Linked DNA regions of Callithrix jacchus. The protein of the gene in region 7 purifies or fractionates together with the protein of the main gene of each other region. This does not show direct contact. Links are inferred from orthologs where the notes say so. Each region holds a gene or a part of one and is shown on either strand. Other genes may lie near its edges. The genes, in order: USP39, PRPF6, ZC3H18, PNN, SART1, EFTUD2 and PRP4K.

What was found.
Region 1: the proteins of PRP4K (region 7) and USP39 purify together in Homo sapiens (affinity purification with mass spectrometry; 3 studies listed by BioGRID and IntAct, with this or other methods). This does not show direct contact. The link is inferred for Callithrix jacchus from reciprocal best matches to the Homo sapiens genes PRP4K and USP39.
Region 2: the proteins of PRP4K (region 7) and PRPF6 purify together in Homo sapiens (affinity purification with mass spectrometry; 3 studies listed by BioGRID and IntAct, with this or other methods). This does not show direct contact. The link is inferred for Callithrix jacchus from reciprocal best matches to the Homo sapiens genes PRP4K and PRPF6.
Region 3: the proteins of PRP4K (region 7) and ZC3H18 purify together in Homo sapiens (co-immunoprecipitation; 4 studies listed by BioGRID and IntAct, counting the BioPlex papers as one, with this or other methods). This does not show direct contact. The link is inferred for Callithrix jacchus from reciprocal best matches to the Homo sapiens genes PRP4K and ZC3H18.
Region 4: the proteins of PRP4K (region 7) and PNN purify together in Homo sapiens (affinity purification with mass spectrometry; 5 studies listed by BioGRID and IntAct, counting the BioPlex papers as one, with this or other methods). This does not show direct contact. The link is inferred for Callithrix jacchus from reciprocal best matches to the Homo sapiens genes PRP4K and PNN.
Region 5: the proteins of PRP4K (region 7) and SART1 purify together in Homo sapiens (affinity purification with mass spectrometry; 3 studies listed by BioGRID and IntAct, with this or other methods). This does not show direct contact. The link is inferred for Callithrix jacchus from reciprocal best matches to the Homo sapiens genes PRP4K and SART1.
Region 6: the proteins of PRP4K (region 7) and EFTUD2 purify together in Homo sapiens (affinity purification with mass spectrometry; 3 studies listed by BioGRID and IntAct, with this or other methods). This does not show direct contact. The link is inferred for Callithrix jacchus from reciprocal best matches to the Homo sapiens genes PRP4K and EFTUD2.

What each region holds. Positions count from the first base shown.
Region 1 is NC_133515.1:27,386,994-27,390,493, forward strand, and holds part of USP39 (ubiquitin carboxyl-terminal hydrolase 39), read right to left. Parts: intron 2,799-3,500; coding exon 2,731-2,798; intron 990-2,730; coding exon 801-989; intron 1-800.
Region 2 is NC_133506.1:59,458,738-59,462,237, reverse strand, and holds part of PRPF6 (pre-mRNA-processing factor 6), read right to left. Parts: intron 3,314-3,500; coding exon 3,195-3,313; intron 1-3,194. UniProt on the Homo sapiens protein: Involved in pre-mRNA splicing as component of the U4/U6-U5 tri-snRNP complex, one of the building blocks of the spliceosome.
Region 3 is NC_133521.1:46,286,006-46,289,505, reverse strand, and holds part of ZC3H18 (zinc finger CCCH domain-containing protein 18), read right to left. Parts: intron 3,059-3,500; coding exon 2,954-3,058; intron 2,440-2,953; coding exon 2,296-2,439; intron 1,882-2,295; coding exon 1,816-1,881; intron 1-1,815.
Region 4 is NC_133509.1:73,856,293-73,858,946, reverse strand, and holds part of PNN (pinin), read right to left. Parts: intron 1,405-2,654; coding exon 1,249-1,404; intron 1,172-1,248; coding exon 1,033-1,171; intron 334-1,032; coding exon 1-333. UniProt on the Homo sapiens protein: Transcriptional activator binding to the E-box 1 core sequence of the E-cadherin promoter gene; the core-binding sequence is 5'CAGGTG-3'. Capable of reversing CTBP1-mediated transcription repression.
Region 5 is NC_133511.1:123,052,789-123,056,288, reverse strand, and holds part of SART1 (U4/U6.U5 tri-snRNP-associated protein 1), read right to left. Parts: intron 1,767-3,500; coding exon 1,593-1,766; intron 1,499-1,592; coding exon 1,388-1,498; intron 1,125-1,387; coding exon 1,037-1,124; intron 557-1,036; coding exon 466-556; intron 1-465. UniProt on the Homo sapiens protein: Plays a role in mRNA splicing as a component of the U4/U6-U5 tri-snRNP, one of the building blocks of the spliceosome. May also bind to DNA.
Region 6 is NC_133506.1:85,259,620-85,262,187, forward strand, and holds the end of EFTUD2 (116 kDa U5 small nuclear ribonucleoprotein component), read right to left. Parts: intron 2,371-2,568; coding exon 2,217-2,370; intron 1,404-2,216; coding exon 1,296-1,403; intron 956-1,295; coding exon 860-955; 3' UTR 501-859; downstream 1-500. UniProt on the Homo sapiens protein: Required for pre-mRNA splicing as component of the spliceosome, including pre-catalytic, catalytic and post-catalytic spliceosomal complexes. Component of the U5 snRNP and the U4/U6-U5 tri-snRNP complex, a building block of the spliceosome.
Region 7 is NC_133505.1:26,495,837-26,499,336, forward strand, and holds part of PRP4K (serine/threonine-protein kinase PRP4 homolog), read right to left. Parts: intron 1,394-3,500; exon of another isoform or gene 1,270-1,393; intron 645-1,269; coding exon 530-644; intron 439-529; exon of another isoform or gene 277-438; intron 1-276. UniProt on the Homo sapiens protein: Serine/threonine kinase involved in spliceosomal assembly as well as mitosis and signaling regulation. Connects chromatin mediated regulation of transcription and pre-mRNA splicing.

The DNA.
Region 1 (3,500 bases), on a different chromosome or scaffold from region 7:
CCTGTCTCAAAAAATAATAAAAAGAAGAGGCACTGTAAGTTAAGAGTCGGGGGTGACCAGCTAGAAGTACCAAAGAGTCTGGAAGGCTCAGTAAAGTCAATACACATTATAATAAACACATCACATACATGTAGTGATTCTTATTTATAAAATGAAAATGGGCCAGACGCGGTGGCTCACACCTGTAATCTCAGCACTTTGGCAGGCCAAGGTAGGTGGATCACCTGATGTCAGTTCGAGACCAGCCTGGCCAACATGGTGAAACCATCTCTACTAAAAATGAGCCAGGTGTGGTGGTGGATGCCTGTAATCCCAGCTACTCGAGAGGCTGAGGCAGGAGAACTGCTTGAACCCAGAAGGCAGAGGTTGCAGTGAGCCAAGATCGCACCACTGTACTCCAGTCTGGGCAACGAGAGTGAAACTCTGTTTCAAAAAAAGAGCCTGGGCATGGTGGCTCATGCCTGTAATTCCAGCACTTTGGGAGGCCGAGGTGGGTGGATCACAAGGTCAGGAATTCGAGACCAGCCTGGCCAAGATGGTGATACCCCGTCTCTACTAAAAACACAAAAATTAGCTGGGCATGGTGGTGGACACCTGTAACCCCAGCTTCTCAGGAGGCTGAGGCAGGAGAATCCCTTGAACCTGGGAGGCAGAGGATACAGTGAGCTGAAGTTGTGCCACTGCACTCTAGCCTGGGCAACAGAGCAAGACTCCATCTCAAAAAAAAAGAAAAGGAAGAAAATGAAAAAGTCAAGAGAGCAAGTCTAAGTATTGGCAGGGCAGGGCTGCTAATGGACTACCTTCTCAGTGATGCCATTGAACTTGGCCAGGATGTTGAAGAGTGGCACTTGGGGAATGATGAGCTGCTCCTTCTCGTCCTTGTAGAGGGGGGCAGTAGGAAGGTCCAGTGTCAGGTACATAAAAGTGGACTCCACCATTGTCTCCTGGTACTCATCATTGTGAAGCAACTGCTCTTTTTCTTCTGCCGGCTAGAAATGAGTAAGAAGAAGAGAGGAAAGGAGTGTGAGTGGTATAGCAACCGATACAAAACTGATGTTTTGCTAGGCTGAAATTTCCTTCATCCGAAGGAACAAAGAGAGGTGCCTGAGAGATTGGGCAGTTTGGCATGCAACACGTGGTTAGATGAACTTAAGAACAGGTTTCCTTCTTTGAAGAGATTGTGCATATATAACAGACTATCTAAAAAGCTCTGAGGCCAAGTGTGGTGGCTCACGCCTATAATCTCAGCACTTTGGGAGGCCAAGGTGAGAAGACTGCTTGAGTCCAGGACTTCAAGAGCAGCGTGGGCACATAGTGAGATTCCATCTCTACAAAAAATAAAAAATTGGCTGGGTGCTGACGCCCGTAATCCCAGCACTTTGGGAGACCAAGGTGGGTAGATACCACAGGTCGGGAGTTCAAGACCACCCTGACCCAACATGGAGAAACCCCATCTCTACTAAAAATACAAAATTAGCCAGGCATGGTGGCACATGCCTGTAATCCCAGTTACGCGGGAGGCTGAGGCAGAAGAATTGCTTGAACTCTGGAGGCAGAGGTTGCAGTGAGCCAATATTATGCCATTGCACTCCAGCCTGGGCAACAATAGTGAAACTCCATCTCAAAATAAATTAATTAAATTAAAATAAAAATAATTAGCCACGTATGGTGGTGTGCATCTATAGTCCCAGCTTCTGCGGAGGCTGAGGTGAGTGGATCACTTGAGCTGTAGAGGTTGAGGCTGCAGTGAACCGTGATCATGCCACTACACTCAGCCTGAGTGACAGAATGAGAGCTTATCTCAAAAAAGAAAAAAAATCCATTAAAAAAAAAGACAAAAAAAAGTGGGCCGGGCACAGTGGCTCACACCTGTAATCCCAGCACTTTGGGAGGCCAATTGCAGATGGATCACCTGAGGTCAGGAGTTCAAGACCAGCCTGACCAACAAGGTGAAACCCCATCTCTACTAAAAATACAAAAATTAGCCAGGCATGGTGGCGCAGGCCTGTAATTCCAGTCACTCAGGAGGCTGAGGCAGGCGAATTGCTTGAACCTGGGAGGTGGAGGCTGCAGTGAGCCAAGATCGTGCCATTTCACTCCAGACTAGCCAACAAGAGCGAAACTTCATCTCAAAAAAGAAAAGCTCTAAGACCATCTAGGAAGCTTAGCTGGGCCAGACACAATGGCTCAGGCCTATAATCCCAACATTTTGGGAGGCCGAAGCGAATAGATCATCTGAGGTCAGGAGTTCGAGACCAGCCCAGACCAACATGGTGAAGCCCTGTCACTACTAAAAATACAAAATTAGCCGGACGTGGTAGCAAGTGCCTGTAATCACAGCTACTCAGGAGGCCGAGGCAGAATTGCTCGAACTTGCAAGGTAAAGGTTGCAGTGAGCTGAGATCACACCATTGTACTCCAGCCTGGGTGACAGATGGAGCCTCTGTCTCAGAAAAATAAAGAAAGCTTATTTGAGCTTTCTGAAAAAACAAATCAGCACTACCTACTGGCTAGACCACTTAAACCAGCAGAGTACATCCCACCACTAACTCCCAAACTGAAAAGTGCACTAGCATGACATGGACCAGTCAGAGCTGCCACTAGGCAGGTGCTTTGTTGAGCCTCTTCATAGGGCAAGCAGGTTTGTCAGTTCTCTAAACATCTCTTCATCTTCCTTAAGGCCCCTCAAGCAATATAAATCAGTCCAAGATCCAGGCTCAACTAACTCACCAGATCAGGATGGGGAAGCTTTTTAGTGAAGATCCTCATGGACCCCTGGAAAACATCAGTCACAATAGCTGCACAAACAGAAAGCGAAAGACAAATTCCATGAGGTTGGAAAACATGTCCAAAATATATTTCCAGCTTCTAAATTTCTGGAATAAACTAGCCTCTTTCAGCAAAAGACCCAGAGCTCTCACTGAACACAGAAGTTTCCCTTTGTACCATATACCACCATGGTACCTTTATTATTATTTGTGTAAATCATTACTTTATTTCTCTTCAATTTTTTTTTTTTTTGAGACAGATTTTTGCTCTTTTTGCCCAGACTGGAGTGCAATGGTGCAATCTTGGCTCACCACAGCCTCCACCTTTCAGGTTCAAGCGCTTCTCCTGCCTCAGCCTCCCAAGTAGCTGGGATTACAAGGCATGTGCCACCATGCCCAGCTAATTTTTTATTTTTAGTAGAGACAGGATTTCTCCATGTTGGTCAGTCTGGTCTCAAACTCCCGACCTCAGGTGATCCACCCACCTTGGCCTCCCAAAGTGCTGGGATTACAGGTGTGAGCTACCACGCCTGCCCTTTAGGACAACTTTTGATCCTCCATCACAGGGCCTGGTCCATAAAAGAAAAAGTAAATGTGTTCAAAATGAATGAGTGATTTACAGAGCCTGGTGATACACAAATAACAAAAAAAAAAAATTCATAAGCCAAACAAGGTACAGCCAAGGAACTTCCCATAACCATATGCTACTTTCAAAGGGAGACAATGTCCAAT
Region 2 (3,500 bases), on a different chromosome or scaffold from region 7:
TAAACACTGATTCTTCCAATCCATGAACATGGAGTATGTTTCCATTTTTTTGTGTCCTTTTCAATTTCTTGCATCAATGTTTTATAGTTTTCACTGTAGGGATCTTTTACTTCTTTGGTTAAGTTTATTCCTAAGTATTTTATTTGTAGCCATTATAAATATAATTTCTATCTTTTTTTTTTTGAGACGGAGTCTCACTCTGTCACCAGGCTGGAGTGCAGTGGCACGATCTTGGCTCATTGCAACCTCTGCCTCCCAGGTTTAAGCGATTCTCCCGCCTCAGCCTCCCGAGTATAGCTGGGATTACAGGCTTGGGCCACTACACCCAATTTTTGTATTTTTTTAGTAGAGACGGGCTTTCACCATGTTGGCCAGGATGGTCTTGATCTCTTGACCGTGTGATCTGCCCACCTTGGCCTCCCAAAGTGCTGGGATTACAGGTGTGAGCCACTATGCCTGGTCTTGTAAATATAATTACTTTCTTGATTTTTTTAAGATTGTCGTCTGTTGATGACAAAAAGGCTACTGACTTTTGTATGTGGATTCTGTATCCTACAACCTTTTTTTTTTTTTGAGATGGAGCCTCACTCTGTCACCAAGGCTAGAGTACAGTGGCACAATCTCGGCTCACTGCAACCTCTGCCTTCCAGGTTCAAGCGATTCTCGTGTCTCAGCCTCCCAAGTAGCTGGAATTACAGGCATGCACCACCACACCCAGCTAATTTTTATAGTTTTAGTAGAGACAGGGTTTCTCCATGTTGGTCAGGCTGATCTCCCGAACTCCCGACCTCAGGTGATCCGCCCGCCTTGGCCTTGCAAAATGCTGGGATTACAAGCATAAGCCACCATACCCAGTCCAATTTTTTCTGTTTTTGATAGTGACAGGGTTCCTCTATGTAGGCCAGGCTGGTCTCAAACTCCTGACCTCAGGTGATCCACTCACCCTCAGCCTCCCAGAATGCTGGGATTACAAGCATGAGCCACCATGCCTGACGACATAGCCTGCAACTTTAATTAATCTGTCAGCTCCAATAGTCTTCTGGTGGAGTCTTTAGGGTTTTCCAAATATAAGATCATATCATCTGCAAACAAGAATAATTCAACTTCTTCTTTTCCAATCTGGATGCTCTTTATTATCTCTCATCTGACTGTGCTAGATAGGACTTTCACTACCATGTTGAATAACAGTGGTCAAAGTGGACATCCTTGTGTGTTCCAGATCTTAGAGAAATGGCTTTCAGTTTTTCCCCATTCAGTATGATACTAGCTATGGGCCTATCACATGTGGCTTTTTTTCTTTTTTTTTTTTTGTGACACAGTCTTACTCTGTTGCCCAGGCTGGCATGTAGTGGTGTGATCTTGGCTCATTGCAACCTCCACCTCCCGAGTAGCTGAAATTATAGACCTGTATTGCCACATCCAGCTAATTTTTGGATTTTTAGTAGAGACAGGCTGGTATCGAACTCCTGACCTCAAATGATCTGCCTGCCTGGGCTTCCCAAAGTGCTGGGACTACAGGCGTGTGAGCCATGGCATCCGGCTGTATGTGGCTTTTATTGTGTTGAGGTATGTTCCTTTTTTTTTTTTTTTTTTTGAGACAGGACCTCTCTCTGATGTCCAGGTTGAAGTGTGGTGGTACAATCTCAGCTCACTGCAACTTCTGCCTCCTGGGCTCAAGCAATCCTCCTACCTCAGCCTCCTGAGTAGCTAGGACTATAGGTGTATGCCACAAAGCCTGGCTAATTTTTGTATTTTTTTGTAGAGACAGGGTACTACCCTCTTGCCTAGGCTGATCTCAAATTCCTGGTATCAAGCAATCCTCCCGCCTCAGCCTCCCAAAGTGCTGGGATTACAGGTAAGAGCCACTGCGCCCAGCCAATGAATGGTCTTTCTAATGTGTTGTCACATACAGTTTGCTGTCTTTTGTTGAGGATTTCTGCATTAACATTCATCAGGAATACTGACCTGTCGGTTTCTTTTTTCAACGTGTCTTTGTCCGGTTTTGGTATCAGGGTAATACTGGTTTTACAGAATAAATTTGGAAGTATTCTCGCCTCTATTTTTTGGACTAGTTTGAGTAGAATTGATACTAGTTCTTCTTCAAATAGTTGGTAAAATTCAGCAATGTAGCAATTAGATCCTGAAATTTTTCTCTGCTAGGACACTTTGTATTACAGCTTTGATCTCATTACTTACTACTGGTCTGTTCAGGTTTGGGATTTCTTCATGGTTCAATCTTATTACCTTGTATCTGTCAGCTGACATCTTTAATTTGTTTGAAAATTACTCAACACATAATAGATTATAATCAACAGTCAGTATGCCCTTTTCAAAGATGGTAACACGGATGTATAGTAAAAGCAATCCCCAGAATTCTTAAAGCTCTCCACTCCAGCCCCCAGGCCCTGAGGCTGTTCTGCAGCAGCCCAGTGCCTATCCAAACACTGCTACCACAGCACAAGACCCTTACGTGGCCTAAAAGCCGAGCAGAGACACATGTACTTTGCAACTTTTCTCCAAGTATAAAACAATTGCAAATGAAACTTTCTTTTTTTTTTGGAGACAGGGTCTTACTATGTCAACCAGGCTGGAATGCAGTGGTATGATCACGGCTCACTGCAGCCTTTACCTCCTGGGCTTAAACGGTCCTTGCACCTCAGCCATCCAAGCAGCTGGGTCTACAGGCACCATCTGGCTAATTTTTAAATTATTTGTAGAGATGAGGTCTCACTAATGTTGCCTACACTGGTCTCAAACCCCTGGGCTCAAGCTATCATCCTACCTCAGCCTCCCAAAGTGCTAGGATTACACATGCGAGACACTACACCTGGCCTCAAAAAAATTTTTTTTTTTTTTTTTGAGATGGAGTCTCACTCTGTCACTCAGGCTGCAGTGCAGTGACACAATCCTGGCTCACTGCAACCTCCACCTCCGGGGTTCAAGCAATTCTCCCACCTCAGCCTACCGAGTAGCTGGGATTATAGGCGTGCGTTACCACGTCCAGCTAATTTTTGTATTTTTATTAGAAACAGAGTTTCGTCATGTTGGCCAGGTTGGTCTCCGACTTCAGATCTGAAGTGATCCACCCACCTCAGATTCCCAAAGTGCTGGGATTACAGGTGTGAGCCACCACACCCAGCCAACTTTTTTTTTAAAGTTGGATAAATATTGTGAAAGGCAACAATTTCTTTTACCTTCTTTCTTTTCTTCTTTCATCCATCCTTTTATCCAGGGCTGCATAGATAGCATCTGCTTCCTCATCATCTTTTTCATAGGGCCCACTTGAGAAGAGGCTCCCGGCATAGCCATTAAACTGAGAACCAAACAACATGTGTAGAGAGGTGAGCTTTTCCTCCAATATCTCCCCACCAGCAGAAATGGAGACGATCTCTACTTATGAAATACTTGCTAAATTATTTCTTCAGCCAACAAAGCCAAATTGAGGGATGGTCTACAATGTAACTGGTAACTACTCTTCTGGTATCAAGGGCATGAAAGAC
Region 3 (3,500 bases), on a different chromosome or scaffold from region 7:
GAATGCCTTAGGAGAACACGGCAGACGGACAGAAACAGCAGGTCTGTGGCTCCTCCAGTGCACACTCAACGTGGACACAGAGCACACAGGACGGGCACCTGAGTCCGCCCTGCTCATCTGCTGCTCAGGAAAACACTACCACGTCTCCCGAGGGTGTTGAGAATACATGGGTGAGATTTGTGGGCCAGGCGAGGGGTTTCCCAAGGGGAGGGATAAGAGAAACAATGCATTTTTTTTCTTTTACAAAAGTCAGGTCTTTAAAACATTTCAAACCTATTAAGAAACATTTTAGGCCCGGCGCGGCGGCTGACGCCTGTAATCCCAGCACTTTGGGAGGCCGAGGCGGGTGGATCACGAGGTCAAGAGATTGAGACCAGTCTGGCCAACGTGGTGAAACCCCATCTCTACTAAAAATCCAAAAATTAGCTGGGCATGGTGGTGCGTGCCTGTAGTTCCAGCTACTCAGGAAGCTGAGGCAGGAGAATTGCTTGAAGCCAGCAGGCGGAGACTGCAGTGAGTTAAGGTTGTGCCACTGTACTCCAGCCTGGGCAGCAGAGCAAGACTCTATCTTGAAAAAAGAAAAACATTTTAGGCCAGGCATGGTGGCTCACGCCTATAATCCCAGGACTTTAGGAGACCAAGGGAGGAGGATCACTTGAGCCCCCAGGAGTTTGAGACCAGCCTGAACAACATACCAAGACCATGTCTCTCCAAAAACAATTTAAACAAACACACAAAGTCTGACAACTACTCAGTAAGGAATCTAAAGACAGATTCAACACTGTCTTCTTTTAAAACGAAACCTCGGAAATCCTTTTTCGGTTTTCCTGTTTTGGGAGGGCCTCACTCCATCGTCCAGGCTAGAATGCAGTGGTGTGATCATAGCGCATGGCAACCTTGACCTCCCAAGTAGCTGGGACCGTAGGCACACACCACTATACCCAGCTAATTACAGAACATTTCTGGGCTGGGCACAGTGCCTCACACCTATAAGCCCAGCAGTTTGGGAAGCCAAGGAGGGCGGATCACCTGAGGTCAGGAGTTTGAGACCAGCCACCAACATGATGAAACCCCATGTCCACTAAAAATACAAAATTAGCTGGGTGTGGTGGTGTGCGCCTGTAGTCCCAGCTACTTGGGAGCCTGAGGCAGGAGAATCGCTTGAACCCAGGAGGCAGAGGTTGCAGTGAGCCGAGATTGCATCATTGCACTCCGGCCTGGGCAGTAAGAATGAAACTGTCTCAAAAAAAAAAAAAAACTTTTTCTGTGGAGATGGTCTCACCATGTTGCTCAGGCCGGTCTTCACGTCCTAGGCTCCAGCAACCCTCCTGCCCAAAGCGCTGGGATCACAGGCATGAGCCCCACGTCTGGTCCCAAATCTTTCCCGTGTATTCTCTTACATGTTTTTTACTGGCTTCCTCGGTCCCTCAGGGGTGTGACAGGCCCCGCAGGCCCAGCCTCCGCCTCTGCTGGGCCGGAAGCTGCCGGCTCCTCCCCAGGTGCAGGTGCTCTCTTAGGGAGATGGGGCATCAAGTCAGCAGGGTGGAGGCCCCTCCTCCTTACCTGAGCACCCTCGAGTTCACAAGCTGTGTGTGTGGGGGGGTCTCCCTATCACATGAGTCCTGGCCCATTTTATCATCTGCATCAGTTCCAACCACAGCCTTCCATGGCACCAGGGTGACTCAGACCCAGAGGAGCCCCAGAGCTGGCCCCAGCCGGCCTGTGGGAGACTCCCCATCCCACAGGCTGGCCTCTTCTGGGGACTTCCTGTCCCTGATGGGGAGGGAGACAGAGGCACAGGGTGACAGGAATGACCTGGATCGGGAGCTGGAGCCGCTGTAGCTGCTGCCACTGCCGCTGCCGCTGCCGCTGATCGTCCGCCTGTAACACAAGCAACAGCTGGGCTCACCGGGCACGGCCTCCCCTTCCCACCAGCAGCCCTGCGAGGTGAGGCTCCAGACTGGCCTTGCCACCGACTTATAAAAGGGCCTGGGGCTATTTTCCTTTAGGCAGTGTTTCTCAAAAATGCACTCTCTCAGGGACAGCACCTCTCAGTGCAGACAGGGGCTGTGGATGGACAGCCGGTGATCCCTACCATGCTGTCCTTTCCCCATCAGGCTCCAGAAAAACAGGCTTAGAGAGGGAGCGGGACAGGTTCCCAGGTCAGGGCTCACTGGCTGCTGCTGCTCTGCTGGGGGGCGCCTCTTACGACCTGGCTCCGGACCCCCCCACACCAGATTTCCACCAGTGCCATCATCATGGTTGCACCAAGGACACAGACGCCGGAATGCTCACCTCCTCGGGGGGGTCCTGGCTTGCCGCTCCTTCCTCCTGGCTTCCCGGGGGTCTCCTGGTTTGGTGGGCTCGGGGACAGGAGCAGTGGTTTTGGTGGCCTGTGGTGGGGCTGGAGGCGGGGCTGGCTTCTTCACTGACTTCTCTCTGTGAAACAGGGAAGCTTGGGCAGGGCAGGGCTGGTGGACGAGGCCCCACTGGCCCATGTCCCCTTTAAATGCACCTGAACCTCAGGGTACAACACTGCATGCCTGTGACGCTAAGTAAGAGGCTCGTGTCTGGATATGGTTCCCCATCGATCAGTGACAGAGTACTTGGGAATGGCTTCAAAGCCCCCAGCAGCCCTTCCAGCCTCCCCTCTAACAGGCAAGAGCTGCAGGCACCAGGGGGTGACGGAGCAGGCTGAGAGACAGACCCCGTGAGAATACCCGGGGCTGCTGCCGTGTCCCCAGGGGTCTGGGGGGAACACTGTAGTGCAAGGGCAGCTTGAGAACAGGGGCTGTGCCCAGTGATCCCCAGCCTATTCACCCTCCGGGGACAGACCCCTGAAGCAACCTCATCTCTTTGGTCCCAAACGCAATTGACAGACAGAGATGGAAGGAAGAAGCTGCAGCCTCTGGAGGCTGGGCTGCCAGGACCTCCCCACAGGCCGGGGACTCACCCTGCTTTCCCAGGCGGTGGGGCCGGCTCCCCCTTGGTTCTGATGGAAGGTCTATGTGGGGAAGGTGTTGGGGACGGGGACGGGGACGAAGAGAAGGACCGGGACCTGGGGGAGTGAACAAAGGTGTGAGGAAGGGCCTGGGGGTGTTTCTTCACCAGCCCAAGGCCACTGAGGACCCACCCAGATCCATGGAACAGGCCACAAATTTCCGAGTATGGGCCTCAGATTGAACTTCAGTTCTGGACCTATTCTGTCATCTGCCCAGAGCAGACTGGAGTGTGGAAGGTGTCAGCACCCACTGGCGGGTCCTCTGGGAGGCATGTGTCATGTTCACGTGTGTGCAGGACGGCTGGGGACAGGTTTCTTGGCAGCGGGGCATCAGCATGGCTCCCACAGAAACACCTGCAGGACAGGGCTGCATCTGGCCCCTTCCTTGGCCTGTCAGGATCTCAGACTGTGGTCCTCAGTGACAGCACCATCTGCACCAGGACGAGGGCCCACAAGGCTAGTGTTTGGTGGGGGGACACAGGACCTGACCCTCTGGCCA
Region 4 (2,654 bases), on a different chromosome or scaffold from region 7:
CACTTTCCCTTACCTCAGTTTCGTCCTCCATCTTACCCTCCATTTCCTGTTTTTGTTCTTCCTCCTCCTGTTCTTTCTCTGCATCGCTATGCACAACCACTATTTCCTTTTCCTCTTCCTCTCCTGCTTCCTCTATTTCTACATCATTGTGCTGATTACCTGTCTCCTCCAACTCTTCCTCTCGCTGAACCACCTTACCCTCTTCTTGTTCCGCCTTCTGTTCTTCATTACGCACCACCTGATGCTCTTTTTCCTTCATTGATTGTCTTCTAGGCCTAGCCTCCATTTTATTTATTTGTTCTGCAAATTCAATTCGTCTACCTTCAAACAAAGCTAAAAAATAAAAATTTACATGTGTAAAATTTACTGATTAAGAAAATTCAAAGCCACAATTTTACAACCTGTTGCAAATTGTTAGTACGCTTCATCTTTGTTTTTGTAAAGTGATGATGACAAAAAGATTATGGCAATTATAATCACAAACTGACATAAAATTATACATGCAAAGATCCATGGGAAATCTACATACTAGAAATTAGTGGTGGACAAAATTAGATATTTTCTAACTGATGAAGATAAATCTTTGTTTGATGAAAAACTTCTGTTAACACAGAATCAGTTTTGACATAAAATCATATATATCTTTGATCCCAAAGAGACAAATCATCTCAGCAGTGTCTATCCTTCCATCTGTGTTCCAGCTAGAAACTGTCCATATTCATGTTTGTCTTATTAGCATTTTATCAGGACACTAAGTGTAGCATACAAAAAAAGTAATCTTACACAAATGCTTAAGGAATACAGATGCATAAGCACTGCCTACAAGATAACTTGCAGATTAAATTCCATCATGAAAACAAATATTCCTATATTGCCAACTCATCAGCATCTCAGAATACCTTTTATTTAAAAAAAAACCAAACACAGCAAATCAATCACTGAATCACAATTATTTTAGAAAACAAATGTGTGTATATGAATGTATTACCTTACCCACTAAGAAAAATTCAACGGACCTCTTCATGTACTTACCATTCATTTTTCTCTGTGACTCTTCTATTAGTTTTTGGGTAGCTGGACACATTCTTCCAGGAATATAAAACAAATGGGGCTTTGTCTTAGTTCTTATATATTTAATAATTTTCGCATTATGTTCATTCCATTCTTCTTGCTAAAGAAAAGGTAAAAGGTCAGTGCTTTTGTAAACCTGAAGGATTACCAATCTTAGAATTCCGTATCATTACTCACCAGCTGCGCAAGCTCAACTTTCTGTTCCAAAAGTCGCAGTTCTGTCTGTTTAGCACGCCTCTCTTCAAACAGTTCTCTCCTTTCATTTTCAACCTGCTTTCTCTCTTCTTCTGCCTGAACTTCAAGTTTTTGTTCAATTTCCTGGCGCCGCTTTTGCTAAAAATTAAGTATCTTGCTTTAATACTTATGTGTTAGAATAGATACAAGACAAGGTATATTTGATTTCAGTTCAATTATAATGAAAAACTATTATTACACATCCCAATTATGAGAAACATTACAAAGGCAGGTGGATCATCTGAAGTCAGGAGTTTAAGACCAGTCTGACCAACATGGTAAAACCCCATCTTTATTAAATATACAAAATAATTAGCAACGCGTGGTTGTACATGCCTATAATCCCAGCTACTTGGAAGGCTGACAGAAGGCTGAGGTTGCAGTGAGCTGAGATTACGCCACTGTAGTCCAGCCTGGGCAAAGAAGAGACAAACTCCATCTCAAAATTTTTTTTTCTTTTTTTTTTTTTTTTACTATGTAAAGGTATCTGCAGGCTGAACAAGTTGGCTCACGCCTGTCGTCATCCCAGCACTTTGGAAGGCCAAGGTGGGCAAAATGCTTTGAGCTCAGCCTAATCCAGGCAACATGGTGAAACCGGGTCTCTGCAAAAAAAAAAAAAAAAAAAAAAAAAAAGAATTTCTGCCAGGCATTGGGCCTATAGTCCCAGTTATACAGGAGGCTGAGGCTGGAGAACTGCTTGAGCCCAGGAAGCACAGGTTGCAATGAGCCGAGATTACGCAAGGCGCTGTCTTAAAAAAAAAAAAAGTATCTGCATATGCTTCACTTTTTCTTTTTTTTTGGAGACAGAGTTTCGCTCCTCTTGCCCAGGCTGGAGTGCAATGGCGAAATCTCCACTCACTACAACATACACCTCTCAGGTTCAAGTGATTCTCCTGCCTCAGCCTCCAAAACAGCTGGGATTACATGCCACCACACATGGCTAACTCTGTATTTTTAGTAGAAATGGGGTTTCACTATGTTGGCCAGTCTCCCAATTCCTGACCTCAGGTGATCCACTGGCCTCGGCCTCCCAAAGTGCTGGGATTAGACGCGTAAGCCACCGCGCCCAACCGCTTCACATTTTCAATTCAGCATACCAACTAATTAGAACTTAGCACTTGGTACTGACTGTGATTTGTCTTTCAGGAAATGGAGACTGAGGCTTTTTTTTCACATATCTATATTTCAACACTATTAACTATGATATCAACAACTGTTACATTGCAACACAATGTTTAAGTAAGGCTGGTAAACCAAGTTTTTACCTGGCTTTATTTTAGGCTTATGATTAAGTAGTTTTGTTTTGTTGTTTTTTTGAGATGGAGTTTCACCCCATAGCCCAGGCTGGA
Region 5 (3,500 bases), on a different chromosome or scaffold from region 7:
CCCTGCACACTCACATCTTACCCTCGATGTGAGGACCCCAGCCCTGCACACTCACATCTTACCCTCGATGTGAGGACCCCAGCCCTGCACACTCACATCTTATCCTCGATGTGAGGACCCCAGCCCTGCACACTCACATCTTATCCTCGATGTGAGGACCCCAGCCCTGCACACTCACATCTTACCCTCGATGTGAGGACCCCAGCCCTGCACACTCACATCTTACCCTCGATGTGAGGACCCCAGCCCTGCACACTCACATCTTACCCTCGATGTGAGGACCCCAGCCCTGCACACTCACATCTTACCCTCGATGTGAGGACCCCAGCCCTGCACACTCACATCTTACCCTCGATGTGAGGACCCCAGCCCTGCACACTCACATCTTATCCTCGATGTGAGGACCCCAGCCCTGCACACTCACATCTTATCCTCGATGTGAGGACCCCAGCCCTGCACACTCACATCTTATCCTCGATGCAGTACACGGCTGAGGGCAGAGACTTGTTGGGGGCCTTCACTCGGGCCACCTTCTGCACTGTGGTCTCCAGTAGCCCTAGGGATGGAGGGGTTGTGAGACTCCAGGCTGCCCAACCCTGTGAGAGGCGCCGCTCCAGGGCCTCCTGAGAAAGTGAAATGGGCCCTGTGGGGTGCACCTCCCTCTCCTTGCCTCTGGAAAGCCATCAGGCCAATTCTAAAGCAAAGATGCAGAAATGAGCCCCTTGCCACGGGCCACTGGCCAAGGAAATGGCAGAGCTGGGGTCCTAACATCAGGGCTTCTCTGCTACAGCTGTAACAGTTTCAACTCCCCTCTCCTTCCTGGAGCAGATATGGAGCCTCGTAAGGCAGAGACAGATGCCAGGGGGAGAAGGAGCGGCTCTGGGCCGGGCAGCTGGCTCCAGCATAGGGAATGAAAGAGGCAACAGAGGGGACGGAGGCAACCCTGCCTGCACCTGCTGCACCGAAGCCCCCACAAGCCCTTTTCCTGCCCAAGTGCCCAAGTCCACCCAAGCCACAGCTGCCCTGAGTTCCCTACCTTTGTTCTGACACAGGAGCAGGGCAGCTGCCAGCCCCCTATTCACGATCGGCTCCTCGTCCAGGATGGTGGTGGAGGAAGCAGAGAACTGGGGGGCACGTGGCAGGGTTGGTTAGCAAGCCACACCGCCTCTTCTCACCCCCACCCATCAGTCACCCCCTGCCGGGCACCAGCCACAGCGTTTAACTTCATTTCCTCAGGTATACTCAGATCACGCTGGGAGGAATGCAGAGCGCACTGTGATGAGGAGGCTGAGGACACCGAGTAACGTGCCTGGGCACTCATCTCCAGCTCGACCCTCCCGCCCCCATGCCCCCGCCCCCCACCCCGTGGTGACAGTGCGGCCCTCACATCCTGCTGCTGCTTCTCCTCGTCCAGGTTCACCGTACTCCAGCCAATGTTCTCCTCCCCATCAGATTCAGAGCCGCCGTTGGCCGAGCGCTCTTCGTCCTGTTCAAAGTCCTGGGGCACAAAAGACCAGGGTCAGCCCAGCCCCCAGCCCCCAGCCAGCCTACCCAGCCAAGCGAAGCCCAGGGTGGGGCTGCCCCAGACGCACCATGAGCTCCTCCTGCTCCTCGCGGTTGCCGGCCAGCCCGTAGGTGGGGATCTCCCCCAAGGTGCGGCAGAACTCAGATGTGGCGTTGAACACAATGGCCCCCTTTCGCTCAGGATCCTCATCCTCCTCCCAGCCCCGCTGGCGAGACTCCAGCTTCTTCACAATCTCCACCACCTGGGGGAGGGAGTAGCTGTGGGCAAACCCAGCAGTTTCTGGGGTGATGCCATTGAGACCCAGGAACCCAAGGGTCCTCCCTGGCAGCAGCAAGACAGGCCACACCCACAGCCCATGTGGGTCCTGGCTGATCTCTGCCTCCTGACTCCACTCTACACCTATTTCACTGGGGTCACTCTTCTGCTCCCATCAATGGGTTTGGCTGCCCTTTGAATGAACACCCAACACCCTACAGGGCCTTCCTGACCAGGCCTGTGCCAACCCTGCTCCAAAGCCCCTGGCACACTACCTCAGCCTCAAGCACCTTCCTCCAGGGTCCCTCCTGCCACCAGCCCCTCCCACAACAAACTCCAGTTTCAAGACTCTGTAGGCAGCACTTCTAGAACCCACAGGGCGGTGAGGTGGCCCACTCTTTTGACTTCCCACAGCCCAGCTTCTTGCTTCCCACTTCACCAAGAAAGCAGGTGCCATGACATGCTAAGAGAACCCACTCGTGCTACCAGCACTAAATCCAGGACCCCCACATGGGCACCAGCACCCTCTGCTTTCCCTCCTTTTGTAGATGCCCGGCCACACACACACTTGCCCACTAGCTCTCCTCTTTAAAAAACTCCTCCCTCAACCCCGAAGCCCTGACAGCAAACTCCTCAGTGAAGCCTCGATTGCCATGTCCACTTCTGCACCCTCTTTCATTTTAAAAAAATCTCCTGAGGCGAGTGGATTGTCTGAGTTCGGGAGTTTGAGACCAGCCTGGGCAACATGCCCAAATCCCATCTCTACAAAAAAATATAAAAATTAGCTTATAGTCCCAGCTACTTGGGAGGCTGAGGTGGGAGGACTGCTTGAGTCTGGGAGATCGAGACTGCAGTGAGCCAAGATCATAGCACTGCACTCAAAGTGTGGGCAACAGAGTGAAACCCTGTCTCAAAAAAAAAAATTCTTCCAGGGGCCAGCTGCAGTGGCTCACATCTATAATCCTAGCACTTTAGGAAGCCAAGGCTGGAGGATCACTTGAGCCCAGAAGTTCAAGACCAGCCTAGACAGTAAGGTGAAACCCCATCTCTACAAAAACTATAAACATCAACCAGGCATGGTGGTGTATGCCTGCAGTCTCAGCTACTTGGGAGGCTGGAGTGGGAGGATCCCTTAAGCCTGGAGGTCAGGCTGTGGTAGGCCGTGATCTTGCCACTGCACTCCAGCCGGGCAACAGAGCAAGACCCTGTCTCAAAAATACATATATATTCCAGGACATCCTGGAACACTTATTTTTTAATGAACTTCATCGTAAACAGAAAAGGGGGTATATCTAACTCAGCAGATGCTATTAATTTATTTATTTATGTTCTCTTTTTTTTTCTACATGAGATTTTGTTCTGTTGACCCAGATATTTATTTATTTTTTGAGATAGTCTCACTGTCACCCATGCTGGAACACAATGGTGTGATCTTGGCTCACTGCAACCTCTGCCTCCTGGGTTGAAGGGATTCTCCTGCCTCAGCCTCCTGAGTAGCTGGGACTACAGGTGCACGCCACAACGCCCAGCTAGTTTTTGTGTTTTTAGTAGAGACAGGAATTCACCATGTTGCCCAGGCTGGTCTCGAACCCCTGACTTCAAGTGATCCGCCCGCCTCAGCCTGCCAAAGTGCTGGGATTACAGACCTGAGCCACCACACCCAGCTGATATGCTTTTTTTCTTTTTTTTTGAGACGGAGTTTCGCTCTTGTTACCCAGGC
Region 6 (2,568 bases), on a different chromosome or scaffold from region 7:
AAGGCAGTCCGACTTCCCTAAATCAATCCCTGGTATGTTTCTAATAAAGCAGTTTTGAGGAAAATCAACAGACTCTTTTTCACTGGGGAGAACAGAGTAAGGGACTGGTGGTGGCTGGGGAGAGGACTTAGAGCAAATGGCTGGAAATCAGTGCTCTGGCCCCATACCCTAGGGCAAGGGAGATTCTTGGGGGGCGGGACAGCAATTTCCTGAGGTGCTGGGGTAGACCTCTGATCCCAGGAACCAACAACTCCCAAGCCATCTTAGGTCCCACCCTGAAGCAGCATGGAGTGGGAGCAAGGGGGCAAAAACAGGGCCTTGATACTCATGAGAACACTGAATTAAAAGGCAGGCTGCTTCCCTGGGGACTCAGGCAGGAAGGAGGCTGCAGCTGGAAGCAGAGGCAGTGAAGCCTCTTGGGAGATGACATATATTCAGAATGTAAGCACCAGGACCAGATGGGGCAGGGGAGACGGGGATGAAAGGAACAGAGCAAGACAGAGGTCAAAATGTTCTGTTCACTTGCAAACCATGGCGAAGGTCAAACTTGTAGAAAATAAAATTCCATGTAAATACCAAAGATGGGGGGGTTCCATCCCCGCTTCTCTTTCTGTGAGTCCAAGCAAACTCCTCTCTTTCCTTGGAAATGGAGCCTGGCAGAGGGCACAGAAGGAAGCAGGAGGCCAAATGCTCCTCTCTCACTGGCGCTCTGGGTTAGAGGTTGGTGAGTTGTTCAAGACACCAACAGCAGCTTCCAGACACTCTAACAACACGAAGGCCATGTCATACCAGGTCTCAGCTTCAAGTGCAGGAGTTGCAACTCACTGTAGGGAGCAGGAGCTGCCAGGAGTCCGTGCACTCACATGGGGTAATTGAGCACAACATCCTGTTTGGCGAGTTCCAGCAACATAGGATCATCGAAGAATTTGCTTATGCTCACATCTTCACTGAGGCCCTGCAGAAAAATACAAGAAAAATACAAGAAAGCCCGAGGTGGTGGCAGACTGAGTGGGGAGGCCACCCAAGACCTGCGCTCAGTGAGGCTAGTGGTAGCAGGAATGTAGGTGGTGTTGTTTCAGCAGCCCTGCTTTCAGGGTACTATCATATAGGAGGATAAAGCTCTCCTTCCACAGCAAGACTAGGGCCCAGGTCTAGTTGCCTCAAGAGTATACAGATCACATGTTTACATTGGAAAAGGGTCCTTTAGGAAAAGGGGCCAAAAGACAGACATAGAGATCCTACTTCTGAGAGTTCTGGGGGGTTGAGGGATGGTAACAGGCCCAAGGAAGACATACCTTCCTACGACGAGTTTTGATCATGAATTCCCGGGCCAGGTGAGGAGCCGGCTGTGGCTCCAAAGGGCGAATGACAATGCTCTTGTCCAGAGGATCACCAGGGACAATCTAAAAGACAAAGGAATTTCAGATGGCCCAGGCAGACTCCCCAGAAGATTTGGGCCCAGAAGCAGGATTCTTATTTATTTTACAGAAAAAAAAAAAATTTTTTTTGAGACTGAGTTTCGCTCTTGTTGCCCAGGCTGGAGTGCAATGGCATGATCTCGGCTCACTGCAACCTCTGCCTCCTGGGTTCAGGCAATTCTCCTGCCTCAGCCTCCTGAGTAGCTGGGATTACAGGCATGCACCACCATGCCCGGCTAATTTTGTATTTTTAGTAGAGACAGGGTTTCTCTGTGTTAGTCCCTATTTTATTTTTAAATTTATTATTATTATTATTTTTTGAGACGGACTCTTGCTCTGTCGCCCAGGCTAGAGTGCAGTGGTGCGATCTTGGCTCACTGCAACCTCTGCCTCCTGGGTTCAAGTGATTCTCCTGCCTCAGCCTCCTGAGTAGCTGGGATTACAGGTACCCACCACTGTGCCCAGCTAAATTTTTTTTGTATTTTTAGTAGAGACAGGGTTTTACCATGGTAGCCAGGCTAGTCTTGAACACCTGACCTCGTGATCTGCCCGCCTTGGCTTCCCAAAGTACTGGGATTACAGGTGTGAACCACTGTGCTGGTCCTCTATTTTTTTTTTTTTTTTTAAACTGAGAGACACAGATTCAAGTTGCCCTGAATATATGCTCCCCAGAAGAGGACTCTTCTCTAGGATGCTGTACATCTCACTTAGGGCTTGGAGGGGGATCAGGACAGAAGGGGATGAGGCTTGCAGAGGTGTGAGGCCAACGCAGCCAGCCAGCCTGCGATGTTTTCTCACCTGCCAATGGTGGAAGACAGACAGAGAAAAGGCTTGTCCCTGGGTGTGAGTCCGGAGATCAGTTTCAAAGCCAAAAGAGTCGATGGCTGGGATAAAGGCTTTGATGGTGTACAGAGGGGAGCCTGGAATGGGTGCATCCTGAGTCACGTGCCCCCTGCGACAAAAAAATAAAGGCCGAGTCTCTAGTTATACAAAGGCCAAAAGACAAGAAGCAATCTGCCATTGGCTGTTCCCAAATGCATCCCAGCCCAGAGTTACCATCAAAGAAAGAGTAACCAAGAATGTTATACAGAGCAGAAAAAGCTCGGGGCTCTCAGTGTAATTTCCTGTGGTCTTGAGTTGTTGTTTTTTT
Region 7 (3,500 bases):
CCACTAATGAGGGGCTACCTTAGCTTGGACTATAACCACAATCTTAATGCCTTAGTTTGACAATTAGTTTTGTGTTCGTTCCCACTAATTCTTAATAGAGACTCAAACTTAAAAACCTTAAAAAGTGGAGGTTTGGGGAGGAACTGAAAGGGCACAAGAAAATATGTATTTCTTCTCTTTTCTCATTTTGCCTTTGGTGGAGGTGCTAGTCAGCCTCAACCAAGGCAACAGGAAAAAACAAAGGTCCCATACAATCCATAAATGTGATAATCAGACCTTGAATAATCAAGAGCAGTCTTCTAAAGTCGAGGATTTTCCACAACTGTTTTGCTACTCTTGCCCGACATGATCAAGACTCCTGTCACAACTACCTTCATTCCACCTGAGGAGGATGAACTTGCTATGGTTCCCTTCCTCATGAATGAACTCGTGCAGCTGCTGAAGTGTGATGGAAAACAGTGCTTAGATATTAAGTAAGCGGTTTCCACCACATATGATGGCCCAGGTCAAAGAACATTAAGAAACTTACTGATTTCAGGAGCACGATAAAATCTACTGACAAGATAAGGTGTTATGTCATTATCCGCAACATGTGAGGCCGACCCAAAATCGCAAAGCTTTAAAATAGTTTTTGATTCATTAACCTGCAAAACATTTTTTCAAAGGAATTCAATTCAAGCCTGGAATAATTAATACAAATAAATAAAAATTACTGCTTTATTTTGAGAACAAAGATACTCATTTAAAAATTCATTTTCTATTTATTTTTAATTCAATTTCCTAACTATGAAAAGTTAAGATATATCAAATATTCATTACAATGAGTAAAAACTGTTTTCAGTGAGGAAACGTGAGATACCACAAAGTATATTTAATTTTAACAACTGCATTTTTAAAAGGGTGAGGTACTGAGAGAAAAAATCTCATTTTATGAAGCAAAGCATCTTCTAAAAAGACCCTAAATACCTGAATAAAGTCAAGTTTTATTACTAAGGACTCAGACTTAACTGTCAGTTGCCAGAGAATTACAATGGCAATGAAAGCAGAAGGGTGATTCAGATTAAACTTGAACAAAAACAAAACATTCTTCATCCGAAGCTTGCTATCTCATCCTAAATTTAGCAATCGCTTCCAGTCTAAAAAATATTAAAACCCTTAAATACAAAGGTATTAGTCAAGAAAACGTTAAATATATCTGGCAAAACTGATAAACATGAACTCTATATTAGTCATTTGTTTCTTTTTTCCTTTGTAAATACTTCAACATACACAGTAATAGTGACATCTGCTGAGAAAGGCTGGAGTTGCTCCCATGACTGCTGCCACTCATGAGTCAGAAGCATGTTCAGGGTTAACAAGTGAAGATAATTCATATTGCAGAGTCCCTTCCCCCCTTCAAAAGAGACACACACAAATACCGAGTTGGAACTTGAACTTGGCCTACTGCTCCCACCCCAAAGCAACATATCATTTTAAATAGCCTTAGGCAGTCTCTATGGGGAGATTGGACTATTATAAATGATATACAGAATTAAGTTATTAATAGTAACAGAAATGATTATTTTTAACTTCCACATTGATTATCATTCTCTTCATCTTGGAAATCAGAAACGTAATTATCTTAAAAGAGAAAAGTTCTTTAAAACTTTTTTTTTTTTTTTTTAGATGGAGTCTCACTCTGTCACCCAGGCTGGAGTGCAATGGCACGATCTGGGCTCACTGCAACCTCTGCCTCCCAGGTTCAAGCAATTCTCCTGCCTCAGCCTCCCGAGTAGCTGGGATTATAGATGCGTGCCACTGTGCCCAGCTAACTTTTGTATTTTTAGTAGAGACGGGTTTTCACCATCTTGGCCAGGCTGGTCTCAAACTCCTGACCTCGTAATCCACCCGCCTCCACCTCCCAAAGTGCTGGGATTACAGGCGTGAGCCACCGTGCGCAGCTTAAAACTTAATTCAGCTACTTAAGCAGTTTCAATACCCAGAGAAAACCTCAGAACTATTATAAAATTAGAATCTATCAGTGGAACTCCTGGGCTGGCTATACTGCCTTAAATAACAGCAGGGTATCCATCCCATATGCACTTCAGTTTGCTACACAACTTCTACTCCTGTCATGAGGAATCTGATACTTAAGCCACACTGATGCCGGGAGTCACGAGCTAAATGCTTTGGAGTTTCATTAACAAAATCAGCTCCATGTCACTGAGGTCTATTTTTTCCTTCCCCATGAAGAAGAGAAAACATTTCTGAAATTTATGTAAAAACCTATACTAGTTTAGCAGTATGCTTTAAAACCAAGAGCTTCTTCTATGACACTGGCAAAGATGTTATTCTTTAACTCCACAATGGTTACAAAGGTGCTAACTGTAAATGACCTTTTAAATTGAACATGTTTTACATATTCTTTGACCATGTATTTCACAATTAAAAAACAAAAAATTGAGGTAAAAGCAAACCACGAAATTGGCCACACAAATTTACAATTTACAATTCATTTTTAATGTACCTACCATTTCAATGTAATTACTCAAGTCCAAGTTACATTAGATATACAACAATTCAGACCAAACATAAAAATGGAATGTACCTCATTACTAATGTGGTTGTCTGGAAGGAAACATTTTAATATATTAACAAAAAAGAAAAAGAGAAATATGAATTAAAGAGCTTAGTTATTGATAAGAAGTCCTTCAACTAAAAAGTCTAATTCAATCACCATTGTTTTAAGAATTTATTTTGGCCAAGCATGGGAGCTCACACCTATAATCCCAGCACTTTGGGAGGGTACAGGAGGACTGCTTGAGCCCAGGAGTTTGAGACCAGACGGGACAATATAGCAAAACCTCATCTCTAAAAAAATTTAAAAATTAAGTGTCACAGTGGCATGTTCCTATAGGTAGTTCCAGTTACTGGGGGGGCTGAGGCAGGAGAACTGCTTGGGCCTAGGAGTTCAGGGTTACAGTGAGCCATACGGCACCACTGCACTCTAGCCTAGGTGACAGAATAAGACCTTGCCTCAAAAAAAAAAGGAACAAAGTATTTACTTTTTAATAGCTCAAACCGTTTCCAATAAAGGACACCTTACATGCTTAGCTTTTAGTTTTAAGGATCTCTCCTTGGTATCAACTGTAGGAGAGTTGATAAAGGAAACCCATTTAGAAAAAAAATGAAATGCAGGCTGTTACTGGCAGATAAGCTAGAATTCTCCAAGTTGTGAACACGCCCCAAACTGAAGGCCACAGAACAGGGTGAAGAAATGGGTCCAGGGAAGAGTGTGTGCGTGCATTAATCACATCACTACGATAATGTGTATGTTTTTCAAAATTTCAAAAACACATATAACATAGTGAAATCTGCATGTTAACCACCAGAAGTTATTAGTTGAAGAGGATTAAAACTTCAAAAGGTGAGAACACAAGGACACAGAGGGGAACAATACACACTGGGGTCCATCAGAGGCTGGAGGGTGAGAGAAAGGAGAGGATCTGGAAAAATAACTG